4 linked regions of the Coturnix japonica genome follow. The protein of the gene in region 3 interacts with the protein of the main gene of each other region in a biochemical or structural test. Links are inferred from orthologs where the notes say so. Each region holds a gene or a part of one and is shown on either strand. Other genes may lie near its edges.

Evidence for each region.
Region 1: of the proteins of ANAPC11 (region 3) and PTTG1, one has a biochemical effect on the other in vitro, tested with the Homo sapiens proteins (3 studies listed by BioGRID). The link is inferred for Coturnix japonica from reciprocal best matches to the Homo sapiens genes ANAPC11 and PTTG1.
Region 2: the proteins of ANAPC11 (region 3) and UBE2C form a complex in vitro, tested with the Homo sapiens proteins (66 studies listed by BioGRID). The link is inferred for Coturnix japonica from reciprocal best matches to the Homo sapiens genes ANAPC11 and UBE2C.
Region 4: the proteins of ANAPC11 (region 3) and UBE2K form a complex in vitro, tested with the Homo sapiens proteins (3 studies listed by BioGRID). The link is inferred for Coturnix japonica from reciprocal best matches to the Homo sapiens genes ANAPC11 and UBE2K.

The regions. Positions count from the first base shown.
Region 1 is NC_029528.1:9,900,345-9,908,195, reverse strand, and holds PTTG1 (securin), read left to right. Parts: upstream 1-3,844; 5' UTR 3,845-3,964; intron 3,965-4,207; 5' UTR 4,208-4,228; coding exon 4,229-4,310; intron 4,311-4,592; coding exon 4,593-4,768; intron 4,769-5,111; coding exon 5,112-5,205; intron 5,206-5,665; coding exon 5,666-5,815; intron 5,816-6,147; coding exon 6,148-6,227; 3' UTR 6,228-6,298; downstream 6,299-7,851. Other genes in the region: pre-mRNA-splicing factor SLU7, read right to left, coding at 935-1,000, 1,898-2,062, 2,335-2,415, 3,126-3,279, 3,425-3,588. UniProt on the Homo sapiens protein: Regulatory protein, which plays a central role in chromosome stability, in the p53/TP53 pathway, and DNA repair. Probably acts by blocking the action of key proteins.
Region 2 is NC_029535.1:9,480,644-9,487,828, reverse strand, and holds UBE2C (ubiquitin-conjugating enzyme E2 C), read right to left. Parts: upstream 4,517-7,185; 5' UTR 4,291-4,516; coding exon 4,190-4,290; intron 4,043-4,189; coding exon 4,015-4,042; intron 3,920-4,014; coding exon 3,833-3,919; intron 3,756-3,832; coding exon 3,551-3,755; intron 3,468-3,550; coding exon 3,408-3,467; intron 3,329-3,407; coding exon 3,270-3,328; 3' UTR 3,148-3,269; downstream 1-3,147. Other genes in the region: TNNC2 (troponin C, skeletal muscle), read left to right, coding at 573-624, 710-853, 927-1,041, 1,117-1,253, 1,345-1,376; regulator of G-protein signaling 9-binding protein-like, read left to right, coding at 2,269-2,458, 2,534-2,943; DNTTIP1 (deoxynucleotidyltransferase terminal-interacting protein 1), read right to left, coding at 4,645-4,858, 4,980-5,035, 5,306-5,377, 5,767-5,827, 6,017-6,075, 6,508-6,553, 6,970-7,031. UniProt on the Homo sapiens protein: Accepts ubiquitin from the E1 complex and catalyzes its covalent attachment to other proteins. In vitro catalyzes 'Lys-11'- and 'Lys-48'-linked polyubiquitination.
Region 3 is NC_029533.1:4,443,239-4,449,716, reverse strand, and holds ANAPC11 (anaphase-promoting complex subunit 11), read left to right. Parts: upstream 1-2,939; 5' UTR 2,940-2,993; coding exon 2,994-3,102; intron 3,103-3,322; coding exon 3,323-3,468; 3' UTR 3,469-3,609; downstream 3,610-6,478. Other genes in the region: ALYREF (THO complex subunit 4), read right to left, coding at 38-185, 2,265-2,396, 2,588-2,818; NPB (neuropeptide B), read left to right, coding at 3,610-3,807, 4,084-4,212. UniProt on the Homo sapiens protein: Together with the cullin protein ANAPC2, constitutes the catalytic component of the anaphase promoting complex/cyclosome (APC/C), a cell cycle-regulated E3 ubiquitin ligase that controls progression through mitosis and the G1 phase of the cell cycle.
Region 4 is NC_029519.1:62,464,526-62,471,896, forward strand, and holds the end of UBE2K (ubiquitin-conjugating enzyme E2 K), read right to left. Parts: intron 4,465-7,371; coding exon 4,336-4,464; intron 3,982-4,335; coding exon 3,907-3,981; 3' UTR 2,621-3,906; downstream 1-2,620. UniProt on the Homo sapiens protein: Accepts ubiquitin from the E1 complex and catalyzes its covalent attachment to other proteins. In vitro, in the presence or in the absence of BRCA1-BARD1 E3 ubiquitin-protein ligase complex, catalyzes the synthesis of 'Lys-48'-linked polyubiquitin chains.

The sequences.
Region 1 (7,851 bases), on a different chromosome or scaffold from region 3:
CAACCTAATTTTCTTATTCATCTGCTTAGCCTTTAAATGCTATTCTGCAATGAACACAGACATAAAGAAAAAATAATAAACAGCTTTTATCTGGAAGATCAGAACTCTGTATTTTGTGCTGGGTCAGAGATTTGGTTCACTCTGCCACCTGGTGACAAAATGCAGGGTGACAGCCTCAGGAAAATGGATTTCCAATTGCCCACAATCTATTGCTCAACACCTTCTGTCTTAAAATGCCAATTAAAAAATTATTTTGGACAGAAATAATCTCTATGTTTTCTCCATGTCAAAAACCAGGAGTTAAAAAATATTCATGCTTTTAAAATTAGAACTTCATATCAAATATTATCAAAAGCGTGGCCTATAATCCATCAGGAACCTGCAGAAATGGATGGAAGATGCAGACTTTACAGTCCAGAGGGAAATATCTATGCTCAGCCTTCACATAATCAGAGCTACTTCAAACAGTCATAGCAGCAACTGAAGAAGAAACAAGTCTGGTTCTAAGATAAAGAAGATACCTTCCTATTCCCATTTATACTAACCATAATAAAACAATCCACACAACAACTGCTACTTCAATATTAGACAAAACAATGTTTAAATTAAAGAAAAACCCAATGTGCATCTCAGTGTATGAGCAGAATTACTACATGGAAAACGGAGCTTTCTGATCTGAAACACCACATCATTAATTTTACAAGGTTAATAATCAGAAGAAAGTTTTGTCCAGAAGTGAAATACGAAGTCACTCATCTGAAAGAAGGCAATCCAAATTTTGTACATGACACACAATAACCTGATGCTATGAAGAACTTAATATTTTTCAGGGTATAAAAAGCAACAGAGAATAAATGTATCCGAGAGCAGAAATAACCTGTTTAGCTTATATTCAGCCTAAACAAAAATAAATTAAAGAGTTTAATGTACTTACCACTTGTTCTAGCTTTCCTGATGCTAACTCTTCCTGAAGCTTCTGAGCTTTCAGTGTACGCTTGGCCTGAACAGCACACAAATGCATTTGTTTTAGTATTTCCTCTTAATAGTAAGCATGTAGTAATATCATAAGCACTTATGACCACTGCCACTTAAAATCTACTACAAGAAAATGAGCTTTCATTTCTCTGGGTGCTTGTAAACAAAAAAAATCAGCAGCCTGAAGTTAATCTCCTCTATGCTTAAGACTCATCACATTGTTTTTAGAGACCAGAGGGAAGGACGCTATACATTAACTAACCATCTTACTGTTTTATGGTATTCTGATAAATAAGCAAGTTTACCACAGCTCATGCAGCTGTACCGTTACTATGTGCAAACTAATTAAAAAAATACAGCTTATTTTAGTTCAGCAGCGCTTGAGAACAAAGGTGTTTTACCACAGTGTCCTCATAACGTAGTCAGGATTTCAATAGTTAAGGTATTTCATTGAAAGATAGTGCAAGCATTTAAAATTCAGACAAGAATCATGACATTTTAGCAATGGAATTTGTATTTTAAAGCAGCACAAAGTAGGTTTCTATGTGTATGACATCACAGAGCCACAGATACATGTACCAACAGCCACTGTTCCACAAGAGTAACAAAAGGACTTTGGATAGTATCTAATAGCTTAGAAATTAACTTTTTGCCTACAAATTAATCCACACCTTTGTCAGTACATTATAGGGCTTGTCTAGCAAAAACAAGCAAATAGGAGAGACAGTATGACAGATCTATACTGAGATCTGAATTCCTCTATTTCTAGTTCTAGTGCAGTCTGCTAACACAGCATACAGCCTGTTTTTCCATTACTGATGCAACACAAGACCTAACATTATCAGTGTGCAAAACAATCCACCCTCCTCACAGCGTATCCAAATGCTTCATTTTTCCACGGTGAACTGCAACACCTACATACCAAGTCAACCTTGGCATACTCTTCTACAATCTTCATGTGCTCTTCTGGGTTATAACCATTCCAACGATCTCGCTTTCCATCGTAATCAAACATTAGCTGAGGCTGCACGTGTTCATCTGGTGCAATATTCATGCCTGTGTATTTAGCTCCAACTTTCCTGGGTCTCTGGAAGTGAAATACATACAAAAAGGTTGGATCAGTTGGTCCAATTTAAACATACATTGAGACACCGCTCTTTAAGAATGGCATCAGTAGAGCTCTTGTAAAGCCAGTTAAGCTTAGCATGATAAGCCATCTGACTTGTAAATAAATTCAAGAAGTTCAGTTCTGTATTTCAAAATAACTAAGTAACTGTTGTTTTACCTATAGGGTAGGCGTTTTTCACTAAATTCACGTTTACTTCTGAACCATTAAAATATCAACAGTGTCAAGCTTACCTCCATACAGTCCTTCTTTTTGTGTGTCAGTGCACCACAGTTCTCACAAGCTCCTTTCCGGTATCGGGTAGCTATAGAGTGCTAAACAACAAAAGAAGACAGCGTTAAACATTAAACAAACACATGCTAAGATTCATCTGTGTATTTCTCCCAGCTGACTTATTTACTTTTCTAACACAACTAAAGCACACATGCTCCAACCAAACTCAAAAGGCCATTTAGGTGACTACCAAACACTGGGTAATGAATCATAGAATCATAGTATCACCAAGGTTGGAAAAGACCTAAAAGATCATCCAGTCCAACCGTTCACCTATTACTAATAGCTCCCACTAAACCATGTCCCTCAACACAACATCTTCCCTTGAACACTCCCAGGGTCGGTGATTCCACCACCTCCCTGGGCAGTGCATTCCAGTGCCTGACCACCCTTCCTGAGAAGTAATACTTCCAAATGTCCAGCCTGAATCTCCCCTGCTGTAGCTTGAAACTATTCCCTCTGGTCCTATCACTAATGACACGAGAGAAGAGGCCGACCCCCAGCTCACTACAACCTCCCAACATAACTCAGGAAGTTATGGAGAGCAATGAGGTCCCCCCTGAGCCTCCTCTTCTCCAGGCTGAACATACCCAGCTCCTTCAGCCTCTCCTCATCTGCTTGCTGTGTACAAATTTCCAGTTCCTGTCACCCTCCAAAGCATATAACCAGATCTTGCAGGGTGTCACTGACTTATATCTTATTGCATAGGAATAATTAAAAGCTTTGTTTTAGGACAAAAGCATCCCCATACCTCTTTCACTCCCCGTTTGTACCAGTCTCCTGAGGAGCTGTACTGCTTCTGCTTCTCTGGCTGAGGCCTCTGATGCTTTAGCGTAGGTCTTTTGGAAGGATCTATGTACCACGGGACCGAAGATATGTACTGAGGAATGTGAGGGTTGATATCTCTGTAAAAGGAGATATGAAATTAATACACGGCACAGGAAAAACCACCGCACAATTTAGCTTAATTAACCTCATGTTAAGCTCAGCTTCACAACTCTGTAACCACATAAGCCTACTTTACAAACCGAGCTGTGTTACAGAACTTACTTTCCTTCCTCATCCACCTCAGCAGGCGCGTTCCCCAGCTTCCTCTGCTCCTCCAGCTCCTTCTTTTTCCTCCAATCCTCCCTCGTCATCTTCTTCGGCTCCTCCATACTCACATCTCCCGGCCCTCCCGAAGGAGCCGCGTTTACCGCCGTCCCAGACGCCATTTTACTTCCTCCTAAAACACTAAAAAACCGCACGCGTTCCGAACCGAACCGATCCCACGAGCCTCCCCCCGGTTACCCCTCATAGCCCAGAGCCTCCACCCAGCCATACCGGGCACAACGACCACCCAACACCCCAGCAAAGCCCACCCGGTCCCGCACCTCCACTCCCTGTTTACCAACTAGGCCGCACCGAGACCCCGCCCCTTGACTGCCAGGGCAACGAGGAGCCGGAACTCGGTAGTCACCAATGGGGCGGCTGAGCGTTAATCGAAAGCGGCCTATGGGAGCAGCGGGGCGGGTGTAGAGGCTGGTTGTGCTTATCGCTATCCCTGCTCTTCTCCTCGCTCTGCTGCTCCCAAATCGGCTTTTCCCGCAGGTAAGTGTGCTGTTTTTCCTCCATGTTTTCTTTCTGGCCTGTTGAGCGATCCTTCTGCCCTAAAGAAGGGCGGGCCTGCGAGGCGTTGCTTGGCCGCCCAGTGCACGGTGCCGTGTTATCAACCGCCATATCTAATACTGGCCCTGTGCTCAGTCCAAGCTGCCATCATCATTCCTAGCATACATCAAAAACTTGCTGTTTCTATTAGCAAGAACTGCCAAGATCTTCTGTCTGCCTTTCCAGGGTGGTCTCATCAGCCCAGAGATGACGACGCTGATCTTTGTGGATAAGGAGGATGGTGAAGTTGGTGCTACTAAGAACCAGTTAAGACGCCCTTCGGTATCATGTGAGTATATGCTCCATGGAGACAGCGTGGGATGGAGTAAAGTGCGTGTCCTGGGTTTTGTTAATCACTGTTTTGAACAGGAACAACAAAATGGGTTAAGCAGATAAATAGTAAAACTAAGTTTATCAGCTATTACAAATATGAAAATCACCTGTCTTTTGAGCTTATACTTTTGATCTAGAAGTGGAGAACAACAATTAGCTTTCTAGCACACACACTTCATTAGAAGCAAGCTTTAGGGTTGACAAGGTGCTAAAGCTTGCTTTCCTTTCCTGTCTGCAGCAAAAGCCTTATCAGAAAGAACACAAGTCAATACTCCACTTCTAAAAAAAGCAATCAGAACTCCAGCCACATCTCACTCTGTCAGAAAGGCTCTTGGAAATGTGAACAGAACTGTAGGAGTTACAAGCAAGAAGGAACAGAAGAAAGATAAAAATCAGCCTTGCAGTGCAAAGAAAGTGAGTACAACCCTTCTGTAATGGATGGGAATCAGAGGAATGCATGATGTACCTACAACAGCTTAGGGAACACACAAGGGCAATGAAGTAACTCTAGACAAAATATTGGCTGTGTTACTGTCTTGTTCATATTCTATTTAGTGGGAGTTTATTGTTATGAGCCTAAATATCATACTGCAGAGATTTGTTGCCACTGTGTACCATCATACAAGTTCAACTGAAGCATTTTCCCTTTTGCAGCTTATTTGTATCAAAGGTGTTAAAATCCAGGTTTACAGGCACAGAAAGGGTACTACACTGAGAAAACACGACAGCACAAATAACTTGACTTCTTCATTTTAAGGTTGCTGAAAAGGCTGTTGGATTAGCAAGCTGGGATGGAGGGGGTGATGAAGCTTACCCAGAAATAGAAAACATGTTTCCTTTTGATCCTCAAGGTAAGAACTCTTGGGGTAATTATTAAAACCTAATTGGACTTTGATTAAGTGTTGATGCTGCAAGACTTCCACTGAGCTGTTGTGGTGACTAAGCTGGTATTACATTTCTCCAGAGTCCTTTCTTAAACATAAGGGCATTCAATATTTTGGAAGCATGACCTTGTTCTTGTTTGAGTGTTTTAAATATACGTATTGCTTGATATAGTTGACACAGCATAGGGATTAGAAAAATTCCTTAAAACTCTTGCTTTATAATGACTGTTACATACACTTCAGATAAGCATTAGCATACAAAATTGCATGGACACTAATAAGTAACTGTAACTAAGCACTCCATAAGAAGGAACTGTTGGACTGAGTTGTCCTGGAACTACTCCCATTTCACTTAATCAAGGACAACTTGCAGCTTCACATGCTATTGTGCGCTGTTACTAAACTACAGCGTGTCTTTCCTAAACAGACTTTGAGAGTTTTGATGTTACTGAAGAGGATAAACTAAGTGATATCAAGCTGCGTGGTGTTCCTCTCATGATATTCCCAAGTACTTATGACAAACCTGTGGACCTAGCTTCTTCACCTATAAAGCTTGAAAAGATGCCATGGGAGTCTGGTAAGTGGAAAATTAGCCTGAGGTTCAGCGCATATTAGTGATTTAGGAAGGAAGTGAGTTTGTTGCAGTAGTGAACAACTATTGCTCTTGTAAGTGCAAGAGCAGGATGCTTATCTCAAAGAGCACTCTGTATGTAACTGAGCTGAATTTAACTGGTCATCTCTACTGGCATGGGTAGTGGTCTCGAAGCTGCACTGCCATGTAACTTTCTGTAATATATTTCTAACTCATCATAGCCATTCAAGAGGCTTATGCTAATCCACCAGCAGCCAGCTGGAGTGTAAACTTCTGGATTTTATGAGTAATTGATCTCCTCTATTTCTAACTTTCAGACTTGCTAGAACCACCTGCTGACTTCATCTCTACGCTGGATTACGTCATTGATATGCCGCCTATGGACTATGACTTCTAAAAAGCATACTCTGAAGTTTCTGTTGAATTTTATGTTTATAAATAAAGGTTACTTTAACTTGTGAAATAAAACTTACCTTGCTTTTTCTTTCAGTAGAGCTAATATGCTGCACACCCAAGATGTAGGCATTTTACTATCTGACAGGCTATTAAAACAAAACTTAGTCTTGCTTAAAAGCTCATCTATAATTCAGTGTTCTGAACTGTATCCAGATATTAATATATGAATCTTCAAGTCACAAGTATAGATTCAATTTCTTAGCACTGTTATTGTTCTAGTTCTTTTCAGTAATCATGGAAAACAAGTGAGGTTTAGAGGTGGCATTATTCATAGTTGCCTGCTGTTACCACAGTGGATAAAAGTTGGTTTGAGGTGCTTAATGAAAGCTGGAATATGGGGGCCCTCACTACAAGAAAGACAGGCCCTAGTGCACAGTCAGAGAAGGGCAACAAAGCTGTAGGTGGTCTGGAGCACAAGTTCTAAGAGGAGCAGCTGACGGAGCTGGGATTACTCACACTGGAAAAGAAGCAGCTCAGGGGTGACCAAACCACTCTCTACAACTGCCTGAAGGGAGACTATGGTGAGAAGGGGGTCAACCTCTGCTCCCAAGTAGCTAGCAGTAGGACAAGAGGGAATGGCATCAGATTGCTTCTGGGGAGGTTCAGGTAGGACATTAGTGAATGCTTCTTCAAGAAAGAGGTCAGGTGCTGAAATGGTCTGCCTGGGAAGGTGGTGGAGTCACTGTCCTTAGAGACCTCCAAGAAACATTTAGATTTAGATGTTGTAATGAGAGATGTGGTTTAGTGGGAATTACTGGTTGGACTAGGTGATCTCTGAGGTCCTTTCCAACCTTAATGATTCTAATATACTATTCTATCTTACTGCAAGTTTTTATGATGCTTGTATATGCATAGTAGTTCAGATATCTACTACTATAAACAGCTGCTTAAAGTTCTGGAAAAAGAAGTAATATTTAGTTGCAGTGGCTGTGTGAACTCACCCTTGTGAGAAATGAGAAGGAACTGACAGCAAATGGAAGTCCTTGTTTGATATCTACAACTAAATTTTTAATTCTTAAGTTAGTTTCCAAAGCAGTAAAAAGCCAGTTCAGGAAATGTAATGCTGTAATGTGGTGGAAAACAGCAATGAAAATGGGGTAGCAGAGTCCTAGGCTGCAACAAACAAGGACAAGCCCAAGTGCAACATCCATGAATGCAAAAACAAAGGAGAAAAGAAAGCTGCTCACCTTCAGAAGGCCTCACAGAAGCAGAAATCTCCAGCAAGATGCACTTACCTCCACTGCAAACCCTTAAATGAGATCTGAGGAATCCTGGTCCCACCCCTTCCAGTCATTCGGTTTCATTGCATACACCTGAGCTCTACCTTCCCACCAGGTGCTCAATCACTGCTTCAGGCCATGACTTAGCAGGAACCATAGCTATTAATGTTTGCTATTCTTGCTGGGCTGCGTGCTAGTGGTACACAGGGTGTTGTTTAGTTAAGCATTGTGTGTCAGTAGAACCTACAGTTCCTATTATTGCCCTCCCTGTGGCTGTCTGACTCATCTATCACCTAGGTATGAGTTCTCCATCTCACTTCCAGCATGCTAAATATTAAGTGCTAA
Region 2 (7,185 bases), on a different chromosome or scaffold from region 3:
ATGGCGTATGTCCCCCTATGGGATGTGTACCCCTATAAGATGTGCCCCAAAGAGGGAGTGTGCGGCTGGCTGGGGGTAATTAATGGGTGCATGGGGCGATCAGAGCTGGAGCTGGGCTGTGTGAAGGCGCTGAAAGCCGAGCGCTGGGTCATGCGACACCTCTGCGGCCCCAGACAGCCCGCGCCTCCAGGAGAAACTCGATCCAGGGCAAACAGGTGCCCGCTGAGCTCTGCTCCCTATAAGGGGAGTCGAGGAGAGTCCAAAAATAGTGTCGGGTGCTTGGGATGCCAAGGCAGCATGGCGGCCTCTGCGTCATGGACCACCGGGGGGCGGCTGCATGGGGCTCAGGGCAGTTGAGCTGCATGGCTGCCCGGGGCCTTGGGTCACTCAGGGAACAGCCACGTGCTGCAGGGCTGAGCTGGACGAAGGCTTTGCAGCTGCACCAGGGAGGCTGAGGCTTTGCACTGTGCCAGACGCTGCTGCAGAGCCCCATACGCTGCTGACCCTGGGCAGGGGCTGTGCTGACACACAGCATGGGGTGGGAGCTGACCCCTTCTCCCTGTGCCTTACAGACAGACCAGCAGGCGGAGGCCCGCGCCTTCCTCAGCGAAGAGATGATTGCTGGTGAGCAGGGAGGGGACAGGGCCCCATCCCAACACAGAGCCCGTCCCAATGCCCGTGTCCCAGCACTGACCACTCTTCCCTGCAGAGTTCAAAGCTGCCTTCGATATGTTTGATGCGGACGGTGGTGGGGACATCAGCACCAAGGAGTTGGGCACAGTGATGAGGATGCTGGGCCAAAACCCCACCAAGGAGGAGCTGGACGCCATCATCGAGGAGGTGGACGAGGATGGTGAGTGGGCTCCATGGGGGTGGTGGGTGTCTGGAGTGCTCAGCCTGACCCACATCACGGTCCCTCCCCACAGGCAGCGGCACCATCGACTTCGAGGAGTTCCTGGTGATGATGGTGCGCCAGATGAAAGAGGACGCCAAGGGCAAGTCAGAGGAGGAGCTGGCCAACTGCTTCCGCATCTTTGACAAGTGAGTGGGGCAGCGCCTGGTGACACCCGTCCGTGGTGGTGAGCGGGGCCGTATCCTGCCCTTCCTCTCCCACAGGAACGCTGATGGATTCATCGACATCGAAGAGCTGGGTGAGATTCTCAGGGCCACCGGGGAGCACGTCACCGAGGAGGAAATAGAAGATCTCATGAAGGATTCAGACAAGAACAATGATGGTCGCATTGACTTCGATGGTGAGCGGCAGGACCTCACCCTGCAGCTTGCTCAGCCCCTTTGGGCTGCGTGTGTGGCACAGCTGGGTCTGATAACGCCGCTCTCTTGCAGAGTTCCTGAAGATGATGGAGGGAGTGCAGTAAGGGATCAGACATTCCTTGGGCCGCCTGCAGCAGCCAGCCCTGCTCCTCCGCCCAGGACTGGCCCCGCCGCAGAGCCTGGCCTCGCTGCCACCCGCTGGAGCCCTGCAGCAGCTCGTGCCACTCGGCTGGCGGCTGAGCTTTTCCTTGACTCTGACAGATGTGGTTTATGGATGAACCTCATTAAAAGGGGGAAAGGCTGAGCTGCCAGTATGGGAGTGCCTGGGGGGTCTGTGGCACTGTACCCCATGGAGGGGGACACGGGGGTGTGTGCAATGCCGTGCCATACCCTGTACCAGCCGGGCTGACCTGTGAGTGTGTGAGCAGTGGTTCCCATGGGCTGCTGGGTGGGCGCCAGGCAGCGCTGAGCTCAGAGTTTCCATCAGGAGCACTCGCTTCCCACGACAGCAGCAGCAGGGAGCACAGCCCTGTTCCTCCCAGGGTCCCAGAAGGCAGCACTGGGAGGCTGCTCCTGCTCACATCACAGGATGTGTGACCACACTGGATTTTGGAAGGGGGAGAGAAGGGGGCCAAGCACTGCTTAGGTTTCTGATTGAAAGGATGGGGTATCCTGACACGAAAAGTTGGGGACTGCTTCCCAACCCTCCAAACCTCAAGACAGCAGCCACACCTCTGCACAGGGATTAAGGCAATGCTGAAAAGCCAGCCTGGTTGGTGCCAGCTCTCCCTGGGGACCCGTGTCTCCGTGCAGCCTCTGGAGCTGGGGAGGAGCACAGCCACAAGCGTGCCAAGATTGGGACGTGCCCTGGGCCGGGGCTCACAGGGAACACCCAGTGCCTGCGGGAGCAACAGGACAGGCACTGAGCAGGACCCCAGCTCAGAACCCATCCCTGCCCCACAGAGCCACTGAGCAGCTGAGTCCCTGTGGCACAGGATGGCACCGGGGAGAGGGGCTGCTTCAGGCTGCGGGGCACGAGGGGTGTGTGTGGCTACCCAGGCTGCGCTCTGCAAGGCGGCAGCGGGGCACCGACAGCTGGTGCTGCAGTTGGGGGGCAGTGCTGATGGCCCCCAGCTGCGTGAGGAGCGGCGCAGGAGGAGCGTGGAGGTGCGGGAGCTCAGTGTCGGTAAGGGTCCGTGCAGCGGGCAGCACAGGGGCTGAGCAGAGGGGCTGCAGCCCACTCAGTGTCTCCATCCCGCAGGGCTGCAGAGCGCACTGCTGGCGTGGCTGCAGCAAGCTGTGGGCCCCCAGGAGCAGCGAGAGCTGGAGCGGCTGTGGGTGCTCTTCCTCTCTGCCCTGGAGCTGTTCCTGCAGGACCTGTGCTGTGCCCACCACCTCTGCTGCACCTTCTCCCCAGGGATGGGTGGTGTGACCCCACTGCGCACTGGGTTGGGGCGGTGGCGAGGTGGGGGTCCCGAGCTGCCCCCAACTCCCCCATGCCTGGAGGAGGAGATGGAGCAGGTGAGGGCAATGATGGTGGAGATGGAGAGCACGGCCAACATCCCACTATGGACGGTGGAATCCATGCATGTGGTGGGGCCAGAGGAGGGCACAGAGCCCACATCCCACAGGCCAGGGCCTGGCACTGGGTCCTGCTGTAGGGTGCTGTGAGAGGGGGGCAGGAAGCGCAGGGCTGACTTGGCTCAGGAAGATGGGAAGCCATGTGCCCCACGAGCTGCCAACTGCAGGGCAATAATAAAGCCCCGCATTACCTGATGTGTATCTGCATCCCTTCATCCCCCCATCTGCCCTGTAGCCCCCCTATCTACAGCACTGCAGGTAACCCAGCTGCGCAATGCGTGTAAGCAGATGGAAGAACTTATAGACATGCATTTATTTATACATTAACCGTAGCTCACACTCCAGAATTAAGTTAAAAACAGCCTATAATACAGAAAGGCGCAGCAGATAGGGGCAAGGGGGCGGCGTGGTGGGGGTCAGGTCTCCTGGTTCTTAGCCTGCTTGCCATACATCTCCCGCAGGTACTTCTTGTAGGCTGTGGGGAGAGGGGGGGTGCGGGCTGAGGTTGGGGCTGTGCCACCGCCACAGCTGGGGGGGATCCTGGGGGCACTCACCAGCCTGGTTCTTCCACAGCTCAGCAGCGTGTGTGTTCAGCGGGCTGTCAATGTTGGGCTCTGAGGACAAGGGCAGGGTCAGAAGGGGGAGATGAGGATGGGGGGGGTCAGAGGTGCCCGCAGCCCCCGTGGCTCACACCCACCTGCCAGCAGGCTCTGGATGGACAGCAGGATGGTGCGCACGTCGTACAGCGCCGACCACTTCTCCTTCAGGATGTCGAGGCAGATGTTGCCCTGAGCGTCCACGTTGGGGTGGTAGCAGGGCGTGAGGAAGCGCACGGTGGGCGCGGTGTAGGGATACCCGCTGGGGAACTCCAGGGACAGCTTATAGCGCAGCTCCTCGTAGGCCTGTGGGGGCAGTTTAGAGCGGGGCGGGGGGAGCGGGGGGGTCTCACCGTGCGGGGTGTCACCGCGCCGGGTCTCACCGTGCCCGCAGCGCCGTCAATGGTGCCGATCCAACGGAACAGGTTGTCGGACTCGGGGAAGGCGGAGATGCCTTTATCGCCGGACATCTGCGGGCAGCGCCATCAGGACGGAACCGTCAGTACGGAACCGACAGCAACGGCACGGCCCAAACCCCGAGTACACCGAGCACAACAACACTCACCATCAGCGACACCAGCTCCTGCTGCAGCCTGCGGGGACAACGCGTTACGGGCCGCACCGGGCACAGCACAGCACAGCACCGGGCACAGCACAGCACAGCACCGGGCAGGGCAATGCAGGGCAATGCAGGGCGGCCCGGCCCGGCCCAGCCCGTCCGGTCCCGATCCAGGCCTCACCTCTTCCCCACGGAGCCCCGTGCAGCCGTCGCTCCCGCCTCAGCCCCTTTGCGGGCCGCAGCGCTGGGCACAGCGGCGGGGTCGGCGTTCTGTGAGGCCATGGCGGTTCCGGGCCGCTCGTGGGGTCCCTCTGCTCTCGGTCCGGTTCGGTCTCGGTCCGCTCCTGTCCCGCTCCCGCTGTGTCCGCCCGCCGTTCCGCCTCGCTCCCGCACTCCGTTTTGAATGTTTCAAACTCGCTCCTCCTCCACCAATCAGCGCGCACTTCCGCTCCCACCAACCAATCGGACACCGCCCAGAATGCGGCCGCTAAAAGAACGGCGGGTGGACCCGGAAGAGGCGGGACGGCGCATGCGCAGAAGATCCCTGCTCCCCCTCCCACCCCGGAGCGTGAGCCCTTAAAGGGGCCGCGCCCCAAATCCCCACCAGGCGTGGAAACGGGTGCGAAGCGGCGGCTTTTATTGCGGGGCCGGGGCCGGGTGTGAGGGCTCGGGGTGTTCGGGGTGTCCAACGGGCGGACCCTCAGGAAAGGCCTCGGGGTGGATCTCGGGGGGCGGCGGCGGCGGGTCCCCCCCGTTGCGAAGCGTCTCCATGTACTTCTGCATCTTCTCCGTCATCCAGGCAGGCGGGACGAAGGGCTTCAGCTCCTCCAGCCGCAGGTCCACACAGTCCCTAAGGGAGAATGGGCTGAGTGCGGGCCGAGGGGTCCCGGGGGCAGGCCGGGCCTCTATGGGGTCCCCGGTATAGGGAGCCATCCAGGTGACCCCCCCGTGTGCACAGCCCGGGGTCTCACCTGTAGTCGTCAGTGGCCGCCAAGTCGCGGATGTCCTCCTCCAGCAGGAGATAGGCCTGCAGCAGGGCGAGACACGCGCTGTGCTTCTGCTGGGGCCCGCGGTGCCCACGGGGCAGCTCTGCCCCCTGTCCCTGCAGTGCTGCCTCTCGTTCCTGCCCAACCCCAGGAGCAGCAAACACCTCTCGGCCCAGCCCTGCTCTGCCTGTCCTCCTCGTGGCCCTGCCCCACACGCTGCCTGGCCTCTCTGCTCCTCCGCCCCTGTCCATCCTGAGCAGGTTTCCGCACAGTTCTTGGGCTGTCGTGGGCACGAGCCCGGCCGTACTCACCATCTTGCCCCCAGTGGCCCTCAGGTGCTGCTGCTCTGCCAGCCATTGCTTATCCTGCGGGTCGGCTGCGTACTGCAATAAAGCAGCAAGGACCTGGCTGAACACGGGACGCAGACCTCCCACCTGGACCACCCTCCTGCGGGGCACAGCCCGTTCCAGTGCTCTGCTGCCAGCACCTCACCCCCACAGCACGGTGCTGGGGGCTCCCAGAGGGAGGGCTTAGCCCTGCCTGCTCTGCTCTCAAATAAAACCCTGACTCTGGGCAAAACCAGCACCTGAGAGGCTGTGCTACCATTAACGTGTTTCAGTGTGCTGGCCAGGTTGTGTGTACGTGCTCTAAGACAACAAATGGGGCGTGGGGAGGAAAAGCCAAGCGAGTCAAAGCGCACACACCCAGTTCCCATCACAAACTGCTTCTGAACAAACCCCAAAGGAGGAGGCATCCTGCTGTGGTATCTGACCTTAAAGAGGTGGGGATGCTTGATGTAGAGTCGCCCTCTTGTTCCTCCCATCCCGAGAGCTCTGAAAAAGGAACACAAGGGGGTGTTACACTGGGACAGAGGGGCCCTGCAGCAGCACGGGGCACCTCCTCTCCTCCCCAGGCCCCAGCCCTTCCTACTGCTTTCGAGGCAGAGAAGTGAAGTGACGGGAGGAGTCTTACGGGCTCCTGCCTGGGAGACACCACCCTCCATCAACAGGGCCATTCCTTACTTGTTTGCTCGAGATCCCAGCACAAAGGTTGTGGTTTCAGTCAGTCGGGATGGATCCCACTACAGAGCAATTGGAAAAGGGGCAACATTAGAAATGAAGCTGGTGCCAGCCAATGCTCCACGAGCCTCAGCTCTCTGACGGGGAACCTAAGAACTGATTTGGGAGGGAGGGAGGTAGCCACAAACCTCTGGATTGCCACAGAGGAAGGAAACTGCACCACCTTGGGCTGATCTAAGCTGTTTCCCTTGTAGGAAACGCTTTGTGGGATCCTCCTGGCTACCACTAAGGCTCTCCCCATGTCTCCTAACAGCTGCACCACACCACAGAGCTACAGTGCCTGGAGGAAGCAAGCAAAGGCTTCCAGGCACTGTAGAGACTCAGCAGAGTAGGGCACAACCTAGGTCTGTTCTGTGCTGCCGCTGCAGGCAGGGCTCTGCTAGCGGAAGCGAAGGGAGGAGAGGGTGAGCCCAGCAGCATCAGCCAGCCAATACCTTTGGTCCATCCCTTCTCACAGGTTCAGAGACTTTGAGCTTCCACCTGAAGGGAAGGAAAGTGAAATAAGAACAGGTCCTAGAAAGATCAATGCAGACAGACACCACAAGCTCCCAGCGGCAGGAATCTGAGTTTGAGCCTTTCCAGATCCACCCTCTCACACCTTCTCTGAAGCCCCATCTCTGCTGTGTTCCCTGTTAGCAGCTGTGTCACACACAGCTCACTGAATCATCCACCTGGTTCTGCACATCCTTTGGCCCTGTTTAAAACAGTTCCCTGGAAGGCTTTGCCTCCTGTGACTCAACCTCAGCCAAAACTCTCTTGCCCTTTGCCATCCCCCCCTACACCTCTCTTTTGTGCAGGGGGAAGGACACTGCAGGTTTTGGTGCCCCTTACTTCAGGCAGTTTTGTTTCCCGCTGCCCCCCCAAAGCACGGGCAGCAGCTTGAGGCCCATACTCACGCAGACATGCCTGAGACCCCACGATCGTTTGACAGGCTCTGTCCTGGAGGCCGTCCCTTTCTCTGCATGGAAGAAATCCTTCAGTCATTCAACTGTGCACATAGAAAGGACCCTTTTGATTATCTGTTCCATCCTACAGAAGCAGCTCTTTCTACCACAAGCACAACAACAGCATGAGAACAAGCACCTCTGAGCCTTCACAAAAACCATTCATAC
Region 3 (6,478 bases):
CCGTGCAGAGAAGCACACGACAGCCACAGAGACTCACCATCCAAGGGGACTCCATTGTACTGCTTCATAGCTTTCAGAGCATCTGCTTTCCTTTCAAAATGCACATCTGCTGTTCCTAGACTGCGTCCGGATCTGTCGTAGTGCACTGCTGCCTTCTTCAAGGTCCCAAATTCCGCAAAGAGTTCCTGAGAAACAGAGGGAGAAGTGAATATGCTTCAGTCAGCTCTGCAAACACCGAGCAGCCCAGAGAAGGTGCAGGCAGCTCCTGCTTTCAGCAATATCATGTACATTCCATGACACCACGCAAATAGCACCAGTGAAAGAAGGAACACAGGCCACTAAAGACTTCCAGAAAGCAGCCACAGGTGGCAGAAACAAACAGGATTTCATATCCACCACTTGAAGGGTGCTTGTATACAGCCAACAAAGTGGCCCCAAGGTATGCTGACCTGCTCCTCTTCCCAGGGACATTGCCAGTCTGTATAAACTGAAAGCAGGAAATCTTCTACTGAAGAGCATCGTTTACCATCACGAGCGATGGAAGGCTGCAACAGTGGAGCCACCCATTTTGTTTCACAGAGGCTACATCTAAGATGTACATCTGGGGACATCTCACTACTTTGCAAGTTTATACCTACACCCCACTCTTCAAATGTTTGAAGCACACAGAATTGTCAGGTGTCCAAAGCAGACACCACAGGCTGCCTTCCATATCACCTGCAGCAGAGCCCAAACACTATTCCAGCCATCTCTATAATTCCTATCCAAGCATTTGAAAGGAGCATATAAATATTTTCACTTCTTAAGCCAGCTGCACTTTATGCAAGCCTGTCAGTGAGTTTCTCTACTGTGTCCATTTACTAAACATGAACATACAGCACCCAACAAGCTTTCTGGAAGACAGCACCACATGGGAGGAGAGGTGCTCCATCACATCCCTGTCCTGCAGAGAAGCTGGAGCCACAGCACCACACATACTCCTACAAGAGCAACGTGAACGAGGCTCCCACCAAGCCCCTCATTCCTCAGCACTGAGCTGAGCAGAACCATATTAATGACACAATCAGCACAGAAACAAAGAAAACAATCAGTGCAGCTTAGTGGAAAATTACGGGATGGGCAGTAACAAAGAGGTACAAACCCATTAAGTCAGCTTTGCTGCTACATATAATATACACAGATGTTTGTCTGCTCCTGCAGTTCAAGCCAACTGTGAAAAGGAAACATTCAACTGCCACACAAAACACATTAATTCCTTACATTGAGATAACTTTACAGATTCACTTTTACACGTTTGGGCCTGATTACAGCAAACAGGAAATGTATATCAACTGAAACTAAACTCACTTGAGGAAAAAACAGTGGTTTTAAGTGCATCGCTCAATAACTAGGTGACCTAAAAAAGCTCACTTCCAATACTCCTGATGCAGACAGGTTGAACCGGAATGAATTAACAGAAGAAAACATAGAAGTGATTTAGTTATTTTTTTCTAGAGGAGATGCAAGGACCAGAAACCATCCAAAGCTCTTTGCAATGTGACTAAGTCAGGAAAACCCTTCAGATTGGATGCTCCTTGGATCTGCAGATGTTTCTGCACAACTTGTTGCCCACAAGTAAGAGCAGCCCCACAGCTGTGACTGCTGTGTCACAGGCACAGTGACTGCAAACAGCCTGCACCCAGGGCACAGCTGGAACAAGGGATTGAGCTGCAGCTGGTAACTCAGCTAGAACATTTATCTGTCATAAGATACATGTGGTAATTGTGGAAATGACAACATGAGCGAGCAGGTACCCCCTCACAGACCAGACTTCTCAATATCACTGGTGCTTCTATAAGAACACCTTGAGACTGAACAAAACTTTAACAAAAAGTACATAAACAGGTACTATGAAAACAGCGCCAATAGATGTATATATAGAGCTACTGAACGTCTGGAATTACACAGACCTTAAAAGCTCACACAGCCTGTGCTAAGCTCTGCAATCACAGCAGGACTGAGCGAAGGCAACATCCCCCCCACAGCATCGTGGTAGAGATATTTCATATGTGATTACCTACAGCTCCATAAAGACTGGGACTCTTCTGAATCCAGCCACTCCAACTGCTCAGCTCAGAGCCCCAGCAGTGCGTGAAGCAAAGGGCCAGGCACCGTGTGAAGGGCCCTTCCAATGGGAGCAGGGCCAGCAATGCTCTATGGCCACCCCCAGCACCCAGCACCGATGGAATGAATGAAACCCCCCGGGAACAGCGCCGAGCCCGTACCTGGATATCCGCATCTGAGACGCCGAAGTCCAAGTTGGAGACGAGCAGCTTCCCGCCGGTCTCCACCCCGGCGCCGGCCCCGAAGCCGCTGTCGAACAGATCGTGCTGCCACTTCTCGGGGAGCTGCTTCGGCTGGAACGACACGGACGTTTCGCTGAGCGCCGCCGGGTCCCGCCGGGACGGCTCGACCGCCGGCAACGGACAAAGGGCCGCCCGTCCCACCGCCCCCGCCCCGTCCACGAACCGCCGCCCCCCGCCCCGCACACCGGCCCCCTCCCTCCGGGCCCCGCCGACCGGGCTCCGCCCCCGCCCCCGTCCCGTACCCGGCTGTACGGCGCGGGCCGATTCCTGCCGCCGCCCCGGGCCATCACCGGCCTGTTCCTCACGGGGCCGCCGCCCGCTCGCCCGGCTCCCACGCCGCCCCGACCGGGCCCGCCCCCGCGGGTGACGCCGCCTCGGCCCCGGCCTCCCCGGCCGCCGCCCCGACCGCCGCCGCGTTGGCTTCGGTTGAGCTTAATGATATCGTCCAGGGACATGTCCATCTTGTCGGCCATGATGGCGGCTCCGCTCCGGGGCCTGCGCTTCCGGCCGCGCTGCGCCGACGCCGGAAGCGGAAGAGGCGGGACCGGCGGGCGGAGGCGCGCGTTCAGATTGGCGGGGCCTCGTGGGGGCGGCGGGCGGTACTTCCGGCGGGGCGGCGCGGACCGGAGAGCGGCACTTCCGGCGGCGATGAGGGTGAAGGTGCGGAGCTGGAGCGGAGTCGCCTCGTGGCTGTGGGTGGCGAACGACGAGAACTGCGGGATCTGCCGCATGGCCTTCAACGGCTGCTGCCCCGACTGTGAGTGCGGCGGGGCCCGGCACGGTACCCGGTCCGGTACCGGGTATGGTACTCGGTATGGTACCCGGTATGGTACCCGGTCCGGTACCCGGTATGGTACTCGGTATGGTACCCGGTCCCGTACCCGGTCCGGTACCCGGTCCCGTACCCGGTACTGTACCCGGTATGGTACCCGGTCCGGTGCGACCCGGCCCTTCCTGACTTTGTGTCCACGCCGCAGGCAAAGTGCCCGGGGACGACTGCCCGCTGGTGTGGGGGCAGTGCTCGCACTGTTTCCACATGCACTGCATCCTCAAGTGGCTGCACTCGCAGCAGGTCCAGCAGCACTGCCCCATGTGCCGCCAGGAGTGGAAGTTCAAGGAATGATCCTCCCCGCCTCCTCCCGCCGCTCCGGTCCCGGTTCCGTGGGCGGGGAGCGGCGCTTTCCCTCGTGCTGCGCGGCGGGGGCGGCCGCGGCCATAAAGACCCGGAGCGGCCGTTCCGCAGCGCTGCGCCCCCGCCGGCACGATGCGAGCCGCCCGCTGCCTGACTCTGGCTGTAGCCGTGATGCTGCTGTGCCGCCCCGCCGCGCCCTGGTACCGGCAGGCGGCCGCTCCGCTCTCCTACCCGGTGGGCAGAGCCTCGGGGCTGCTCTCCGGTCTCCGCCGCCTGCCCTACAGCCGCCGCTCCGACAGCAGAGGTGCCGCTGCTCCGCTCCGCACCGCGGTGAGTACCGGGATGCTCCGCTCCAGGAACGGGCTGGTACCAGGAATGCCCTGATTCCAGCAATGCCCTGATTCCAGCAATGCCCTGATCCCAGCAATGCCCAGATCCCAGCAATGCCCTGATCCCAGCAATGCCCTGATCCCAGCAATGCCCTGATCCCAGCAACGCCCAGATCCCAGCAATGCCCTGATACCAGGAACACCCACCTGCCCGGCTCCGCGGGCAGCCCTGCTCCAAAGTTCCCACCCAGGAATCTCTGTGATACTTTCCCCACAGGTGCCGTGTGTGATGGATGTGGACCCCAAGCTACGGAGCTGTCGGCTGCTATCGGGAGTCCCCGGTGCTCTGCAGTGCAGTGTGGCTGTAACCGTGTCCTTGGGCTCCACAGAGTGTGGGGGGGCCTGAGGTGGCACGGTGACTATAGTGACAATAAATGCACGTGGAATGGAAAGATGTTGTCTGTCCTTAAGGGGAGGGAAGCCTTTGGGGTTGGGGGGAGCCCACCAGGATCTGGGGCACACAGGGGTGCCCTGAGCAGCAGTGCCCACCCAGAGCTGTGTGCCCTCTGGAATGGGTGGGAGTTTGGGTAGTGCCACAGGCACTGGGGGATGGAGCACAGCTTGGGGCCCCACTGCTGAGCTTAAGGTGAAAAAAAAACAGTGCAGGGAGAAGGAATCCATTGAAATTGATCTTCCAGTGCGTGGAGCAGCCCAGCTCTGAGCACAGTGCCTGTGAGCAGAGCTGCTGCAGTGGGAAAGTCTTCCACATGGCTGAGGATGAATCCCCTACCCCTCCCTGCCATGTCTTCAGTTCTCTGAGTGATACAGGAGACAAATCTGAAGCTGGGGGGTGTTGTACAGGTCAGGGTAAGCCAAGCTGAGGAAGGATTTTACCCTGGGGTGGGAGATGCTCTGGGCTGAGGTCAGGGGAAGCCACACACTGACCCCCAGCAACACCAGCACTGCCACTGCTGAGACTCAGCCTCCAGGTTTGCACATCTACAGGAACTCATATCAGCACTGACACAGCCTCAGCCCTGCAGTCCAACTGTCCTGGTGGGACAGGGATGGTGCTTTTGGTTGCCCATGGCTGTTCACATCCCTGTCCTGCTGCCCCCATATTTGCCTGCAGCAGGCAAAGGCCCAGCCCCAGGGTGCAACCCCAGCCAGGGCAGCACACAGCACCCAAGCAGGCACACACAGGCCCTGGGGCCCTTGAGCAAGAGACAGGGCTGAATAGGCTGCAGACTGATCCAGCCCCATGCTGTGAAGGTGCCCCCACCCCATCGTGCACCCACGCAGGGCCCAGCACAGCCCCACATACCCAGCACTGCTGCCACCGCTCACAGCACTGCGCTTCACAGGGGTGGCTACTTTGGGATTGGTGCTGGAGCCGAAGTCCTGAGCTGTGCTTGGGAAAGGAAGGAAAAAGAACAAATAAAACAACAAACAAAACAAAAAAAAAAAACCACAAAAATATTTATTCACAGACTTTAAATTCATTTAATTTATTTCCTCATTTTTACTCCACGCTCATTTTTGCCCTTTGGGACTCTCAGGATGTGAGCAGATACAGACTTGAAATGAGAATTAAAAGGGCCCGCAGGCTCCCAAAGCGGGAGATGTCATGTGCAAATGTTTTGTGCATAGAAATAGCAGTGGGCAGCTGCACAGAACACTGCTCCACCACGCACCCATCTGAGCAGGCAAAGCTGAAGCTTCTTTGGTAATTAAATGACACCAAGAGGCACGTAACCGAGCGCCAGGATCAGAAATAGAATGGTTCTGTCAGTTTTTAATAACAGCAGTACTTGTGTTGGTGCTGGGGGTGGCTCATTGCATGTAGATGCTCTCAGCCTGGGGTCAGTTTGTCATTGAGGTGGAGGTGGTTGTGATGATGGCTGAGCTGTAGTGAGCCAGGGATCAGTGAGGCAGAAGCCCCAACTCTGAGAGCAGCACAGGCAGCAGAGACTCACTGGAGCGCGTCAGGCCCAACACTGGGGACTGGAGTGAACCCACTGCTCCCATCAGATGAGCTCTGGGAGAGGACAGGAGCCCCACAGTTCTCCCATTCCCACCCCATGGGGAGGCTGAGTGCTCCCACACAGGTGGATGGTTGGCTCTCAGCAGCACCTTGTGACAGGATGGACCCTGCAGGTCTCCCTGCACACCACAGAATCCCAACTGCACATCTATCTTATACAGCTGCCAAAGTGATGAGAGAAAAAAGAACAGCTTCTAGACAGAGTGACCCCTAACCCTGTGCCAAAACAAATCTGGCATTCCCACGGAGCTCAGCACTGCCCACTGCACTTTGTCTCCATGCAGCCAGTGAGATCTGGTCCATTCTGATCAGAGCTTCCAGAGAAAAGCCCCAGCAGAAGCACCTATAGGCCTGATATTACACCGGCACCCAGACTTGAGGCCCAAAGAGACCAACAGACAACTCTTCAATATTTTATTAATGATCAGCAACAGAAGTTTACAACAGAGGACAAAAGAATGGGCATGGAGGGATCGTACAGCACAGTGTGTGGGGAGGCCGAGCACAGCACCCTGGAATGTACGAGGCAGAGAAGGGCTCAGCCCAGTGCCCGGCTCTTCCCAAACCTCCTCAGGCCCCACAGAGCCCGGCAGGAGGCAAAGTGCTGCACTTCAACCCTCATAAAATA
Region 4 (7,371 bases), on a different chromosome or scaffold from region 3:
GACAGGACACCTGGCCTTCCTGAGGCTGCCCATAAGCAGACACGAAACCAAACTAACACTGCTCCATTGGTTATCCTTTCCCCTTTGGACAAGCCTCCAGCCCTGAGCCAGCTTTTGTTGGTACTTAGGAAGGAAGCAGAGACGCACACAGCCAAACTTCCTCCTCTCACTCTGCAAACCGAACATTTCACATTAACAGATGCAGTAAACAAGAACTCTTGCCTGAATTTATGTTTCAGGTTTGATTTTCCCCCTCCCATTAAATCAGCACTCCATTGGCCTTCAAGCGCACAGTCTGATTCACAGCCATTAAGCTTAAATTTGCATAGTTTGCCTGTTCCCCACACCACCCACTGCAGGCTCAGCACCACCAGGTGAGCTCCTTCCTGCCTGTTTAACTCTTGTTTAACCTGAAAGAAGACAGACAGCAGCCCTGTAGCCCTCGAGCACCCAGCTCTGCAGCCAGCTCCTGGTCCAGGCACAGCACAGTGCCCAGCTGGCACCAGCCTGACCATAAAGCTGCTCCCTCACACCCAGAGCTGGCACTGGCTTCATCTTGCTGCTAAGGGGAAGCCTGGTACATGCAGTAGCGCCACGTGCCACAACTTTCTGCAAGGATCCAGTACTAAGTTTTGTTCAAAAGTCTCCGTTGGTCCTTCACAGACACAATGGAGGAAGCTGCCAGTTTGGAAGGGGGAGCAGAGGCCAGAGAGAAGAGTTTGGCACTGGCAGGAAAACGGGCTTTTGGCGACAAAGGGATGTTCCTTTATCTCCATGCAAAATTAGACTTTGCTTTTTGAGGAAGCGGGTGAGACAGGAGGTGCTGGTTCCCCAGCAGCCACTTCACCAGATGCACATTAAGACACTGAGCAGTGAGACCTGATGCCTGGAAATCTGTGCGCTCCATCAGCAACACCTTGCTTAGAAAAACTGGGCCATCCACTTCAGAATAAGTGTTCAAGCTGCTTTCTTAAATACTGAAGGAAGACGATACGAGCTTTATTTGTACAAACAACTGTCCCCACGTTTAACATTCCTGTTTTAAGCAAGCAGAAAATGTGCATCCTGAGCCTGCAGCAGTGACCTGTGTGCAGCTCTGCGCTGGCAAACACGTAGGGCCCAGAACGTGGCGATGCTCACACAGATAACAGATCCGCATTCTGAACAAGCTCAGTGAGCTGAATGCTGATAGTAAACTCCCCGGGGCTCAGCCCCAGCTGCAGCCAAACTAACCTTGTACAACCTCCTTCCTATATTCAACTCTGATAATTATCAAGAAGACAAAACCACTCCTTACAAAGGACTGGTATCAGAACTCAGCCCACTGATGTCTCCTTATTGTTGGTCATCTCTCCTTCCCAGCTCAGGCCTTAAGCCGCCCTCAGCCAGCACCTGAGCCAGCATCGAGGTATCTCTGCTGTAAAGCACGTGGGGATGGAGGGCAAAACACAGCGTCCAACAGCTACATGGAAGGGGAAAGGGGTAGACGAGCGTTCTTCTACGGAGACAAAAATGAGGTAACTTCACAAGAGAAATAAAACTTAGCGGGGTGTTGTTTCAGCGGTGACCGTGACCACCTCAGAACCACCTCCACTCTTCTTCCTTTATACACAGTTGAGGAAATCTGGGTATTTCCAGACACATGCTTCCAGTTGGTCTCCTAAGAACACCCATCTCATCAAGACACGTTCAGAAGCCCACAGCAGAAGTTTTATACCCCTTGACAACAATTTCAGAACCCCTTCTTTTGATAAATAGCAGCGAAGAGCAAAGGAAAGTAGTCAGCAATGTATAATTACCACCAGGATAAAACAACACAACAAAAAAAAGGTTGATGTAACCAAGTTCTTACCCTGTACAACAGAACAGACAGCAATTTGAGGCTAACACTAGTGGCCTTTAGCCGGTTTCCTACCGCCCCCTGGTTCTCAGCTCACAAACCAGCAGAACAGTAGCAGCTTCTTGTTTAAAAAAAATAAATAACTATAAAGAAAGACAAAGCAATTTGTTTCCTTTGGCATCTTCGAGAATGATTTACACTAACTCCAGAAAATCCAAGAAAAGTCATCACTGACTACACCTCAAAAAGCAGTTACGTATAAGACTAAGCAAATGCATTTAGTATTGCACTGATATGAGTTACAAGTATTCACTGTCCATGCCCCAAAATACTTTAATCCTGGACACATGGGACAGAAGAGTTGGGAGCACATCCCCGAAGCTGGGTCTGCACGGCTCTGTTCTCTGGTTCTGTTCCACAACAACTATGCTCCGGACATTGATCAGGTGCAGCATTCCTGATCTCATCCAGCACAACTTGGAAACAAACCTCTACAAAGGGTGGAACCATTTCGGCCTGTACTTCATAGTCCAAGGAAAATCCCAACCAGCCACGCGCCTCCCCACCCCGCCCCCATTCATACACTGCTCGGGAAAAGACACAGCTGTGAGACAGTGAGTTACGTGCTCCTGCACTGACAATCCCCGCTCTATTCTCAGATTCCTCTGAACTCCTTGTCAGGTGTATTCTCACAAGTTGCATCGTATTCGTACAGGCATTACAGTTCTCTTTACACAGACGTACTGGTGTTTGAAGTTGCAAAACTAATAATTTTCAAGCTTTTGCACTCAGGATGAAATGTCATTTTAATACGAATAAGACGACTGACTGTATGTACAAGCCAAAGTAAGTTTCAGTTCTCGTTTATCAGAAACATCATCAATCCAAAAGAAAGCTAAATTGAGAACAAACTTCTATGTGCATTTGAAGTATGTACAGTAAAAACACCAACACAGCCTCCATGTGTCAACTAGAGAAAAACGCGAGCAAGGATGAGTTTTCAAGTACCTGGAAAGCAATCCTTAAACTGAAGCCCAAAATAAAGCTAGAAAACTGCTGCAAAAAACAGCTGATTGCATCATATCAAGTACTCAAAAGAAAATATAATTCTCAGTACGCCAGAGAATTAACTTTTCCTCCTTCAAATCCAGTGAAGTCATATTATCCAAGATACACGGAAGAACATTTTACATCCACTTTGGACAAAAAGAAAAGGAAAACAAAAAGGAAAGAAAACCAGCTCCATTCTTGTGCTGTATCAAGGCATACAAACCCTTGCCAGGTGCGTAGAAAATACAATGATGGATGAAAATCGTCGATAATTCAAAATATGTTCTCCATAGGCGAGCCTAGACTACCATACATGGCACACAATACCAACAGAATGAAGAATAATCTAGGGAGGGCTCTTAGCTGCATGACGTAAGGGAGAAGAGAATCTGGATTCCCAATTAATAAGCTACAAAGAAAAAGGTTCTGAATAGGTCACCATTTGGAACTTTGGGTAAATCTTTTTCAGCCTTTCAGGAAAATAGGTACAAGAACACTCGAGTATTTAAATGGTGCTCTCTTCAGCGACCCTACCTAATACGTCTATTAAGTACAAGCATGCAAATATAGGTCAATCCACAGGCACAAAGGATCCATGTTAAGAACAGTAAGATAGCTGTGATGAGCGGCACCAACAATTTTGATGACTAACACTCAAAAACGTGGCTTTCTGAATTACTAAATCAAAATCCTGAAGAAAGTTCCTGCTAGTTTTCGCCACACTGCTAAACACAAAAGTAGGCATGTTTTTCCCCCATTATTTTAGCTGAGCTCAAAGAATTTTTACAATATTTAGTAAGAAAAAAATTAAAGTATTTCCCCTTTTTAAATTTACACAGACGTTTAATTAGCTTTATTTACAGAGCGGTTTTTCAGTCTCCAATAGTGCCTAGATAGTATCATCAGGCAAGAGTGCCAGTTTTAAAAGAGAATCTATATAGAATCCTAAAAATAACAGATGGTGATGCTCCTCCAGAAGGGGCAAGCTGGACAACCGAAGCAGCTCTCTATGTGGTTCAGTTACTCAGGAGTAATTCTGTTGCAGTCTCTACATCCCATGATTTTGAAGACAAGGCCACTATTACTGCATTCTGCAATGAGAAAACAAACAGGTAAACAGTAACATTTCCAGTGCGTGAGCCTGCGACCGAGAAATGAGACGTTTGCAGGTTTATCAGTTTGAGTGTGTTAGTTTTTCACTCAAGTCTTAACTAATCATATTTGAGAAGAGGTGAGGGGAACTCATGATCTACCAATAATGAAGCCCCTCAGAACTCTGATTGTAGCTAAACCCTATGATCGAACTGCCAAACAGAGCAGAAATAGTGAGTTTCACTTCAACATCCGAATGGCTCCCCCTATCGCCACATATATACTTGCCCCACCCCCACTGAAAAATGTTCAAGAACACCTTGGATTGGGAGAGACCTCATGTATATACTTACCCTATCAAAGCCCATAGCACAAAGGTTTTCTATTTTTCTGGTGTATTCTGGACTAGAAACTGGTGCTCCAGCATACACGTGTGCCCAAAGTCGAGCTGTCTGTTTAAACATTTCTGGATTTTGTTTGTACTACACAAAAGAAAGAGAGGGGAGAATGGGAAGTTAAATCAACTCAGCAAGCCAACCAAAGAGTCCGATGGCACAGCAGGTTCCATTCTGTACTTCTCTAACATCTTCAACACTGCTTTAACCCTGTTTCACACTGATCCCACTCAAGTTTTTGAAACAACACTCAGAGGTGAGCATTACACGTAGCTAAAGACTATGTGAGCATTTAATTGAATGAGTTTGCCCTTATGTTAAGTGACACACCACAGGCGTGTGCACAATCCAATACTGCTCTTGACTGCACTGATCAGAAAGGAGTACAGCAGATTTATTTCGTACTGCTCCCAAACGTTTCTATCTAGCACAGCAAAGCATATTCCTATGTGAGCAACCACTGAATGTATGCATCACACTGTACTTTCACAAACTCCTCTCATCCCTGAAACGATGCCTGGTTTGTACGCTGCAAGGACTCGTGCAGTTTTTCAGGGAGGGCCGCTTTTACTACACAGCCTCCTACTCCAAACACAGATCATAAGGGCAGGCAGCATATGAAAGGGCTGAAAAAATAGGTGAATGTGCTACGAACTAGGAGATTGCAACTCTCTGCAAGCTACTGTTAATCAGACAATAGCATTTAAATACACCACATAATTTTCTTCCGCGCCAGTCTTGTCATTAGCAGGATTTTCAGCAAAGTACAGAACGACCATAGCAAGAGCTTTCGGCCTGTGCCAGCAACTCCAAAGCCAGGAAAGTGGGTCATCTGTCACGAACTGTACACAGCAAAGCAAGATGATGCTTCCTGTTCCAGCAACTTTCATCTAGAAAATCAAGTTTTAATTCTCCATAACCATACACCGCCTTTATTACAAGAACACTTTTTCCCCTTCCTCGTTCCTCTTGAAAAAGCTTTCCCAACCTTACCTACATAATGAATTTTAGCACTGAAGTGATGAGACAAGACACTGGAAAATGCACAATTTTAGAGTCACTTTTAAGGACAGAAACAACCAATTATCGTTCAAAGTATTTTATCCATACAACTAAAGAGTCATTTCTGTGAAGTACTGACCAAGTGAGTACTACTCACATTTCATTTCTCCTTTCCTACAGCACAGCCCCCAGTTCAACTGCACCATGAGCTGCATGTACCTCCTGCTAATTCTGCTCCCCACGAAGAACCCCACATAGTCACTGACTATTAATGGTGTTCAAACAAATGGAGAAGATACTCTACTGCTAGAAATAACTCTTACATTAACACTGATCTCTAACACATCTTTAATCGTTACAACTGAACAAGTGAGAAAGCAGTAAGGGTAGCATCAGTAACATCCCTAAACACTGTATTTTTCTACTGTCTTAAGAAATATTCCTATTCTATTTTTCTTATGGAACTGAAAACATTGACAGACCTAATAAGCAACCAGCTGAAGTGGAAAGGATTGAAGTCATGTTTGCATAACTGCATTTTATTCAGAACTAGCTTTCAGCGTTCTATAAATAAAACTCCTTTACTTAGGTACCTGTAAATAATCTGGCTTCTCACTGAATTGAGAAGCACACAAGCACCTCTTACTGATGTCTCTGTATTGCAAATCACAGTCAATTATGCTGCTGTACTTAAAAACCAGCTGCAACCAGTCAAGCATGATGAAGTGGTTTTGGCACTGGACATTGAAGATGGCAGGTACCTGAAAGCACTGCCATTACCTGAGCAGGAGTAGAACGTCACGTTCTCCCTGGGATTCAGCTGAAGCACATGTAGGAAATACTGCCTTGTACCTCATCTAACAAATAATTACATACATTAGCAAAGTAAAACAAAAAATGAGCATGTAGGATAAATAATTCCTTATTAGATTTTCTTTTCGAGAAGATTTTGGGGGATGGTAGAAGGGAACAACAGGACGGGACTAGACAGGTGACCTGGAAAAAAGACCATGTGTGGAAGAACTGGATGTTTACCTTTACCTCTCTAAGGGATTATAACAACTTTCTACTTACATACGTGTGTGTAACTGAAGGCCGACCTGCTAGCAAAGCAAAATGGCTCTTCATGTAGATATCTGCAGGGGAGAAACTGAACCTTCCCCACACCAGCTGCACCAGGGTCCCACCAGACACCCCCTAAGGCACTTGAAAGGCCACCTGGAAAACTGCAACTCAGAGTTCAGGAAGTTTTATGAAGTTTTCTATCTGGTTTCCAGCTGAAGGGTTTCTATGAGATCATTAGAATTCTGTGCGGAAATCCTACTTTCAGCAGCCTGAATAGGAAGCTCAATTTTTGTTCTATGTGAAAGAGGAAAACGTAAAGCAGCTTTTCCACCAAAAGACTGAATGGGTCTCCTATGTTCTCCACATTTCCCTTTAAAAGCAGACAGCTGTGATAAACTGATTAACTGTCATCCTACACAGACTAGACTTTAGGAGAAAGGAGTACACACTTCTTACCCTTTCCTGGAGTGTGCTGACTTACAGGAGATAGAGATGAGATCGATGCTGGAAGAACTTTTTACTTGCTTGAGTTTTTTTTTTGTTACTGAAATATATCCTTATATATTGATATATATAAGGTCAACTGCAAAGCAAAGCCTTCTCTCTCTCTCTTTTCCCCCAAAGAAAAAAGGAAAATCACATGCATCCTTGGGATTTTGCTGACAACTGTCAAACGATTAAAGTCATGGAAAGATTGTTCCCATCTTCAATCAATATTTTAAATACCACCAGCTATTATTTCTTTATAAATTGTTGCTACTGTCTGAAGAATAACAAACCTTGCTGATTACATGAGAATTCCATTAATACATACTCAACTAGACTAAAATAGTTAACCCAAGTACCTGCACAGGTAAAATACAGAATGCTCCATGTAGATTTTTAAACGTGTCTTGTTGAGTAGCGACCTGCAGCATCTAATGCTAA